2 linked regions of the Caenorhabditis elegans genome follow. The protein of the gene in region 2 purifies or fractionates together with the protein of the main gene of each other region. This does not show direct contact. Each region holds a gene or a part of one and is shown on either strand. Other genes may lie near its edges. The genes, in order: nhr-69 and daf-8.

Region 1 (4,752 bases), 1.3 Mb from region 2:
TTCTGACGGGAAGCGCGGTGTTTCGTGCGATTTTCAAACAATGTTTGCGATTTTTGAGCGAAAGATACGGTGCCGGGTCTTGACACGACAAAAAAAATGATAAAAATTAACAGAGAAACTGAGAAAATACACGAGTGAAAAACACAATCTCATGGGAAATTTATAAAAATAAGAATTTAACAAAAGTTTGTCGTGCCGAGACCGGCTACCGTATTTTCGGCGCAATAATACCCGACAGTTCATAAGCCGGGTTTTTCAGAATGGGAGTCAAAAAAGGGTTACTGTAGCAGTAGTGTCCAATACATTCGCTTGTAAAGTACGGTACAAGGTGACCATCGGAAAGAACGGAAAATGTGAGAAGCTATTAAAATTACAATAAATCACATTTTTGAGATATCTGTTGTTTTCCATAACTCTTCATATTCATATTATTTCAAGTAAAAATCAGTTTGTCAAAATCAAAAAACAAACATCAAAAAACAAAAACTATAAAGATTCATTTTTTTGATAGTTTTTGACATTAACTACGTTGATTTTAACCGAATCTATCTAAATAAGTCAACCAGGCGAGTTTTAATGTTAAATTCAAAAAATTTAGCAAAAATGCTCGAAAAATTCAGCTGAAAATTGAAAAATCCTATTCTCCTCGAGAGACTGCGTAAATCCATCGCGACCAGCTCTTCCATTTCTAGACATGAGTTCGGAAGCCCGGGATTTGTAAAACCTGTAAATGAACCAAATCATTCTCAACCCCTCCCGTTCGAACTTCGAATGAGCTGCGTTTTCTTAAACTGAAATTCCAGAAATTACAGTCGTCTTTCAATATTGTATTCCCGATCTCTGCAAGACCCTTATCAGTCCTTCTATAAATTTCTCATTTTCTCTACCCACTCTCTCATTTTATAATTGTCTTTTCGTCGTTTCTTTCACATGTTTGTCACTTCTTTGCCCCCTTCTTCCCGCCATTCTTATCAAACACCCATCATACGCTCTCCAATACAATGTATTCTTTTTCTTCTTTTTCCAATCATTTTCCTGCTTCTTCATACTCTCTTTTTTTGTTCTTCACACACGTTTTAAGGATCATTGACAATTTGAAATCAGGAAGATCAGTTTTTATGAAGTCGGGTACAAAGAAGGATAGACTAAACTAGAATTTTGTTCTAGAAAAGTTTCAACTAGAAATTGAGATACTTTATTAAATGTTCAGATTTGAAAAATCTCTATGTTTTCCACCCTGGCATATACATATATACCGACATACGTGCCTACAGGCCAATGGCGCGCGGAATATGCCCACCAGTAATTCTACATGAGCCAGGGAGTTCTCATAGTATCTGAAATTTGAAAATGGAGGTAAAAAATTAGGCAAATTGCAACTTTCGAACAGTTTTTCGGACGAATAAAGGTTATTTTCCAATAAAACAAAAAATGCGATATATTCTGTCACCAAATTTAAATAAAAAATATCGAGAGAACATGCCACACTGGTTTGCTTTAGGTTTCCTATTCCTGCATTTCTGTAAATTAAATTATGTCTTTTCATGAGTAGGTGGTCTTCAAAGCTGCCTTGTAGGCACGTAGGTAGGCCTATCTAGGCTTAGATCTATGTAAGATCTAGTTTTTGGACATCTAATTTGAATTTAAACTTGCTCATCAAATATTCTATTCCGCTTCTTCCTACTTTTTATTATTGATTCATATTATCTAATAGAGCACAATTACATAAATATTTAGACAAAAAGTATGGTCGAAGAAATATGTCATATTTGCAACGACAAATCAACTGGTAAACACTACGGGGCAATCAGTTGTGATGGATGTAAAGGATTCTTTCGACGAAGTATTCGCAAACGATATCATTATCAATGCAGATTTGAACAAAATTGTGATGTTACCAAAAGTATGTTTATAGTTTTTAAAGTTTTTGGGCCGTTGGTTTCTGAAATTTCCAAAAGCAAGTCGGTCCTCCAATGTAATAAATATGTAATATTTCCTCTTATTTCAGATAAACGGAACGCATGTCGAGCATGTAGACTTCAAAAATGTGTAAAAGCGGGAATGAAGAGTAATGGTGAGATCATTCCAATACTTTTTTATAAAAATAGCCTGTACTATTTCAGCAATTCAAAATGAACGGGATGCAATTGGAAAACGGAAAAAGACTACGGGAGCTGAAAAAGAAGATTTGATAGATCAACTTGTTGCCGCAGAAACATTATGTCAGCAATTAAGGTCCAGTGTAATCAAGAATACATCTTCACTTGTAAGTTTGATTGGGATTAAACGCAGTGCTTCAAATTTCGTCAAGAGGGATTTCTTTCAATTTGGAAAGTTCTTGATTTTCTTTACTTAAGAAACACGGTTTAATTATGCCGGAATTTGTACCTGGTGGTTCTTTTTCCGCCCCCAGAAAAATCTGTTTTCTAGTTTCACCTCTTGATCTCAGTCAATAATCACATTGAATCCACGTGTTTTACAGGCACCATACGACTGTGGAAAAGTTAAATGGAATTATGAAGATGCGAGAGCTGCCACATTGGATGATATTGGAAAATCGATTCATCAACAATTGGTTCTTTTTATCGAATGGGCGAAGTCATTACCTCAATTCTCGTTTTTGGCTCAAGCAGATCAGGTATGATTTTTTTTCTATGAAAAATTTCAGAAAAATATTTGTTAGATGATTTTTTTTTTGATAAAATCAAAAACAACAGAGATATTATTTAGCTGTCATAGTAGCGAGTTTAATACTGAAAATACTGCAATTACTTGTTTCATACTTTCTTTTTTAAAAAATGACGACTTCTAGCAACAATTTCATAATTCCAGGCAGCTCTTCTCAAAGGCGGTGCCGCGTCAATAATTGTACTTGGAGTAGCATATCGATCGATTTGTCTGACAGTTGAAAATACAATTTGCCTTGCAAATGACACACTTCTTCCAAAAGAACATGCAACACAAGTGGGAGATATCAAGTGAGTATATTCTCATTTCATATCTGTATTCTCAGGTTTTGTACAGTCATTTCAGTTGTGTCGTCGGACGAATTATTGATGAAATTGTGAATCCAATGAGGAGGTTAAATATGGATTTAATTGAATATGTTGCACTGAAAGCTATTCTGTTTTTCAATCCAGTCGTCAGAGAAATCAACGATCAGAGTCCGGTGGAGAACGCCCGATATGCTTTTTTGAGGTCATTGCAGAGAAGGTTTATTTGACAATACTAGCTTCTATAACAAATGTAATATATTTCAGGTGTACTGACAAGGCACTTGAAAATATGGAAGACGAATCAATGGATTGCAGAAGTGGAAAGCTTTTGTTATTACTTCCATCACTTCAGGCTATTGCTCAACAATTGGTTAGTTACAATTGTTATTCAAATTAGTAATTTATGAATTTAAAGGTAGAAGATGTCCAACTTGCTCGTTTGTTCGGTCTCGTGAATGTCGATTCGTTAATGGAAGAACTTATTCTAAATGATATGAAACCTTCAGATCCACAGGTAATTTTTATTTTGAAAAGCAGAACAATGAAAGGAATATCTTAGTTATTGGCAACTTTCAAAACCTAAATCCTGAGCCCGGGGAATTTTATTTCAAACTCTTCCAAATGTGGAATATGCACAACAAATTTTGTTTAGTCTATCTAAGGAGAATAGGTCAATAAATATGCGGATTTCTTTTGTGCTTTGTGACTGTTAAGCTTATGGTGGTTTTGTGGAAGACCCTAATAAGTTCCAGAGACAATTTCAATCTCACAATTTTTGTTTTCAGATATTACAAACGAGTCTGGCATCACCGGTGAACTCGTCCGTTAAAGCAGAAGTTGAATTGGAAGAATAGTTTCCAATTTTCCAATATTTTATATTCAAGAGACCATAATCTCATCTTGCCTCCCTTCCTGCTCAAACCATCTAAATACTTCCAAACTTTGACTTCTAGAAATCGGGTCCCAACGGACACATTACTTACCTGCTCAAACCACCTCATTGTTTCCTTTTTCTATGTTGGTTTTATTATTATTTTAATAATTATTATTTCATGTCATGCAAATATTTGAAATTGTAACAACAATTAATTCGGTATCAGGAAAACAACAAAATATTGAAATTATTATACATTCGCAGCTGAAGCCATTCGGCTGCTTGGAGGTCGAAGGAATTGAGGAGCTGGTGTAGTTGGAGATTGATCCAAATGTAAATCTTCTCGACTCATGAGAGGAACCAAAACTGATGTTTTCCGTCGCAGACCTGAAAAGGGTGCATAGTATTCAGGCAAATGAGAACAAGTCTAAAATGTATTTATTTTTCATAAGCTATGAATGATACTAACACCTCTCGGAAATAGTTTCTCTTTGAAACTGACTCAAATTTTGCGAGACTCTTTTTTAACCGGATCATACTTTTTTAAACGGCAGAACAAATTTGCATTAACTAGATGAGCACCTTTATGATAATCAGTCTGAACATCTAGGTCTAGCCATCACAAAAAAAGACCGAGAATGCGTAATTCCAAATTGTTCGGTGGAAGAAAATGCATGATTCTTAGTACGCTTGGTCAGGTAATTCACTACGTTCTTGAAAACTTACTTGGTTCAATAGATAAACCACCAGCAGAAGCAGATCTATCATAGTCGTCACCGTAACTTTTATCTTCCAAAATCTCTCTGATTGTTGCATGTCCTAAAAATATATCCTATAAAAGAATATAATTCAAGTTCTACTAACCTGATTCTTGTAAAAACT
Region 2 (5,497 bases):
TTCCAAATAACGTGGCAAATTTGGCAATTGCCGCCTACGTTTGATTTAGATCTACAATTCTTAGAACCTCCTCCTTTCAACCGATCCTTTCACAAGTAAAGTGCTCCACTCTCGCAAGAAAAGGTTTTGATTTCACGCTCCAATATCAAAACGAAACTTTTTTTAAATACTAAATTACTTATTGAAAACAGATCACTGTAAAACTCTAAGCCACTTTCTGGATAAATAAAATTTCGATCTGAAACATTTTAAGCGTAACTGTGCACTACTTTCGACGGACGTAAAACTGCTCGGATAACTATTTTGATGATTTCCAAGGATTTTAGGGGGTTTATATTTAAGTGAATATCCTGGCAGCTTTTTGAAAGTGTTTTTTTTTTTGATAATATTAAATTTAATCCATCAAGCTCGATCGGAAAAAATCAGACCAAAATTACATTTCCAAGGATTCTAGAATATTTGGCTACTGTAAACACTTTTAAAGTTGACATAAGTCGTTTAAAAGCTGCAAAAAGAAATCTCGAGCAGTTCTAAAGCCCTCAAAAACAATGTAAAAATACACAGAAAAAGTTTAAAATCTAAATTTTTAAATAAAAAATTTTAAAACTCGTTTTGATGTTTTAGAGTAAAATAAAAACCTTTCTCTATCAACAAAATTGATCACACGCAAATTGGAGATTAGGATTTTGGCAAAGAAAGAAGCTAAGTTCTGGATGAACATATACGTGGTGGAGCTCCCATACAAGTGAGTACACTATCGACCCAATGCATCGGATTATTCAAATGAGCCTGAAACCAAACAGGCGATCGGAGGACGGTTGAACGACGATAGTGTTCTCCCCAACCTTTGCAGAACGAAACACGAACTGTGCACATTCGTGAGAGACAGTAGACGTCTGAAATGTTGGAAGAAAAAAAATGTAGCTGACTAGAAGGTTTGAGAATTCGTATTCTCCGAAAGTTGCATCGGTAAAAACTATACACCAAAAAATGTCAAAAACTTTTTATAAATTATTTTTAGTTGACAATTTTGATATATCGCACAATAGCCGTACTTTGGACGAAAAGTAATATGATATAATAGAAATTACTAATTCACTCTCACCTTGATATGTCTTCTCAGCTGCTGTTCTCAGCTGTTTGGAGAATAATCTCATGTCAAAAACTTTCATAGTTCCAGTTGGAGGCAACTTTGATACAGTATTCAATTGGAAACCATTCTTCATATTTGCACCGATTGACTGTACAAAAACAGGAATATTGCACAAATTCTCTACATAGACTTCACCAGCTAACAAGTAAAATCGAACACCCTTTCCAATGAGACCACGAACTTCGGCCGTTTGTGGAGAGCGGTTTGGATTGTTGTACCAACCAAGCGAGAAACGGCTGTAATGATGTTATTTTGATATTTACTTGAATTTATGTTTTAGTTCAGTGTACACTAGTGAATGTAGTTAAAATTCAGATGCGTGTAAGTTCTAGACCAGGGCTTCTGTCAATGATACAAACCTTCTGGTTTCTGAGTCAGTGCGACTAGCTGTAAATCCATCGATCAGGCAGTGATGCCCTTCTACATCGGCTTTCTCTCCAATCATCGTTCCTTCTTCATAATAAATTAATTTCAGCCAACTCGGCGACTCTTCATATTCTACACATTCATATATTCCAGCCTGTCGTGACAGATCTCCAAGTTCTAATGCCGAAGATCGATAGAGTGGTCGAGGTTCAATTGGTGTGATAGGCCGTCCATCTGCATACGTTGGCTTTCGGTTTCCATTGTTCTCTGATGAAAAATTCTCGGAATGCATGATGTCACTAACTTCGGAATCATCCATCATTTCTTGATCCAGACTTATTGTATCATTTCCGTTTGGAATAAACTCTCGAGGAGAAGCTGCATGACTGTAAATTTAAAGTTTTATAGATCTAAACTAATATTTCAATTTTTTCCAATATTCAACAGTTTCGTCGGCCCGACCGCCAAATTTAATTTTTTTTTCAACCTTTAGGTCGAATTTCGAATTCTACTTTCAGTTTAGCCAGTTCTTTAGATTGTTGAATCAGTATTGTAAAAACAAAAAAATTCCAAAAAAGTGAAATTCGTACCTAGCTGGAGATGAGAGTCCAGATCTATAATATCCGGGTTCCTCGTCGTCTTGTCGATTACTTTGTTGCAGTAACGATGCGAAAGATGATCCTAATGACATCGTGGTAGAGCTACACGGACTTCCATCAAAAGAGCCAAAATTTCCGTAATTCATATATTGAAAATCTCCGTTTTCAGCTGCATATCGATCATAGAGAAGCTGAAATTTTTATTTTTGAATGTGAGGGGGTGACAGTGGATGTTTTGTAGAAATACGTGCAAATATTTCAGTCAACGTTTTTGGTAAGTTTGCAAATTTCCAAAATTTCTAAAGAAAAAAAAAGATTAATTGCAACTTATTTACTGGATTTTGCATTTTGGAAAGAGTTCAAAAAGGGATATCATCTCTCAACAAACCTTAATTTCATCTCCTCTCATCGTCACATTTGGCACATCCCAACTTGCAACCACCTGTTCCTCTTTCAAATCCTTTTGATTCCAATCATCCAGTGCATCCTCAGTCCGAATCGGAGGTTCACCGTAATCCAATTCCTTATTTACAATAATTGGTGGAACTTGGCACGTCGGTAGTTCAACCCATCGATAATGATACGGATTCAGACAAACATTCCGACTATGGGAATTGAATGCATGTCGACACGTTAATATTGATTTCACTTGAGATTCATATCGAATAACCGGAAATCTGAATGCTCTCAAGACACACATGATAGCTCGTCCAAAGTTTCCAATGAGTTTCTCATTGTGTGCAGGACAGCATCGTGTTTTTGGATCACCTTTAATAACGGCATCGTAGAAAGCTTCAAAGCACTGGTGTTTTTTAGCTACTCTAGAGAGTAATCGGGTAACTTTGAGAGCCCAGTAGATTGTTCCCTAAAAAATAGTTGAGGATAGCTTGACACTTCAAATAGGGCAATTTTAAGGATTTGAATTTCTTAGGAAAAGTTTACTATAACAAAATTTAAAAAACAAGATATGGGCTTTTCTCTTTTCCTGTAATTTTCTCTTTATTTTTTTTTTGGATCTTTTCGAGTCTCCAACATACATTAAAACCTTTTGTCGTAAATATCCTTTCAGTTTCTTTAAGTATTACTATTTTTGAAAAAAAATTGTTTCCTGTTTTAAAAGAAAAGGCTAATTTGAGAGACACATTCTAAAATTAGAAAACGTATAAGTTAATGTTTATGTAGGTTGATTCTAAATATTTTAAAATAAAAATTCGCTAATATGTCTGGACATTTGATGTTTGATCAAGATACGGTATCTCTCAACTCTGCTCTTTTTTAAAGTTTCTTGTTCACTTACTTGCTCGCCGGCTGGCCTAGAATATGAAATTTAAAATTTGCAGATGGCTTTTTAATTTTTAAAAGTAGCCAGCGAGACTATTTGTGTTGAAAATTCAAAAAAAAAGTTTCAAATCTTCAAAAACATACATCTCCTTCAGTGATAATAGTTTCTTCTAACACTTTTTGAGCCATTGCCTCAAGTCTGGGATCAGTAGGTTCTGGTGAAGGAAAATCGTCCATTTTCGTAGTTTTAAAACTGAAATTTCGAAGAATTAAAAAAAATATGGGAGGAGATGTTAGGCTAGAATAAAATCCAAAAAAATGGGCCGAGCTTAAAAAGCAACGACCACAAAAAAGGACTGATTTGGGATAAAGAATAATAAATAGTACAGATGATTTTATATATGAAATTAATATTTTTCGTTGTGCATTGCCGAAATTCAAAAAAAATTTGAATCAGAAAACAGAATTATATCCAAAATGATAATAGAACCTTCTGGTAAGTCATAAGAGTCAGGTGAGCTACTCAAATGGGCGGAGTTTCAATATCTACATAGAAAGGCGAAATGAAAGAATTATGAAATTCAAGAACTCGGAATGAAAACTGGTATGAACGTGTAAAAAATGATAAGAAACAACAGTTTGTGATAAGATTTTTGTGTTGATCAGAATCGTCATCACCTATAAAATCAAGGAAAAATAGAGAGAGAAATGAAGAAAAATGAGAGGAAGTTTTCATTTGATTTATTCAACTTTTAAATGGATTCGAAGTTTTTTCGATATCAGGAACGCGGTTCCAAAATGATCGAAAATCTAGATATTTACCTGAATCTTGATTTTGTTTTATACAGAATTTTTCTGAACTCAATGAAGCCGATGACTCCTAATTAATTTATTCAAGTTTCGTTCATTTAGATATGACAAGGCATCACGAAGATCTCAAGACTCACCCGGCTTCTGATACGTGACCTAGAAATAGTTATAACTCGGCCAGCAATTTATCAAAAGCAAAAAAGTTGGGAGGAAAGTATAATTTCATCTTTTGAAATCGTTTCTCTTAAATTTTAGCAAATGTCCATTTTTAGAATTTCTTTGACTATTTTGAGTTTTTATTTTAAAAAAAAGTCCATTAATAGAAACTAACATAAGTACTACTAAGAAGGCGTCATATTGTTATTTTTGTTTCAGATGGATGTACGTCACTACTTTTTATTGAGGTGCTCTCATGAGGAACCAGAATAAATAAACTATTTTATAACACACTGTACCATTTCCAATTGTTTAAGAAATTAAAAAAATAGAATAGAACTCACAGAAAATCAGTTTTTTTCTGAATCTGGCGGCGAAAAAAGCCAAGATATGGACGGAACCTAATTTTGGGGTGTTCTCTAAGCAAATTTTGAACATTGATTTCGAATACTGAATGTTAGAAGAACGCCAAATTGACGGCGAATAGATTAGGAAAAAAAGGTTTTCAAAACAGTAATAATGTATTTATAAATTCTATAGAAGTATGACATTCTGAGAATATTATAGAAAAAGAGATTTCGTATTATTATTATTATCAAATCATTCTGTGAATCTTCGTATCATATGACTTACTATTAAACAACCAAAATGAGCTGAACCTAAAGCCTTGAAGACCACGAAGTGACCACAGATTAAATACTGGAGGAAGAAACAAAACAAGTAAATAATCATAACAATTTATCTATAAAATCCTTTCAAAAGTTGAAGTAAACAACATCCTTTGAGATATCATGATTAAAAAGAATGAATAATGTTTCTAAATTTGTATAATCCTCTTCCTCTTTTATATTATTTTTATGATTTCTTCTGACTTTGAAGAGAAACAAAATCGGATTCAGATAAATTTCGAAAATTCTTGATTAACTCGGATTAAATGTCTCCTGACAATTGCACAACGAGCAAAACAGATGAAGGGTAGAAGAAGAAAGAGAATTCGTAAGTAAAGAGAATCGAGAAGAGAATAGAAACTGACATAAAAAGTTAGAAGGTTTTATGATTAACATATATCGCATGTTTCTTCGTGTATCGAGAACAGTTTTTTCTCTCTTTCAAATGGAATTTTGAGAGCGAG

What was found.
Region 1: the proteins of daf-8 (region 2) and nhr-69 purify together in Caenorhabditis elegans (affinity purification with western blotting, with the first as the bait; one study listed by BioGRID). This does not show direct contact.

What each region holds. Positions count from the first base shown.
Region 1 is NC_003279.8:9,878,488-9,883,239, reverse strand, and holds nhr-69 (Nuclear hormone receptor family member nhr-69), read left to right. Parts: upstream 1-1,735; 5' UTR 1,736-1,746; coding exon 1,747-1,903; intron 1,904-2,008; coding exon 2,009-2,074; intron 2,075-2,123; coding exon 2,124-2,266; intron 2,267-2,482; coding exon 2,483-2,638; intron 2,639-2,832; coding exon 2,833-2,978; intron 2,979-3,033; coding exon 3,034-3,213; intron 3,214-3,260; coding exon 3,261-3,366; intron 3,367-3,411; coding exon 3,412-3,510; intron 3,511-3,781; coding exon 3,782-3,850; 3' UTR 3,851-4,057; downstream 4,058-4,752. Other genes in the region: inx-20 (Innexin), read right to left, coding at 4,121-4,257, 4,597-4,689, 4,735-4,752. UniProt on the Caenorhabditis elegans protein: Orphan nuclear receptor which, in cooperation with R-SMAD daf-8, modulates the Insulin/IGF-1-like signaling (IIS) pathway, perhaps by regulating expression of the potassium channel exp-2, which in turn modulates the secretion of insulin-like peptide daf-28.
Region 2 is NC_003279.8:8,583,854-8,589,350, forward strand, and holds daf-8 (Smad protein daf-8), read right to left. Parts: upstream 3,655-5,497; 5' UTR 3,637-3,654; coding exon 3,544-3,636; intron 2,984-3,543; coding exon 2,507-2,983; intron 2,310-2,506; coding exon 2,110-2,309; intron 1,906-2,109; coding exon 1,513-1,905; intron 1,390-1,512; coding exon 1,106-1,389; intron 897-1,105; coding exon 703-896; 3' UTR 571-702; downstream 1-570. UniProt on the Caenorhabditis elegans protein: Probably a receptor-regulated SMAD (R-SMAD) that is an intracellular signal transducer and transcriptional modulator activated by TGF-beta-like daf-7 signaling.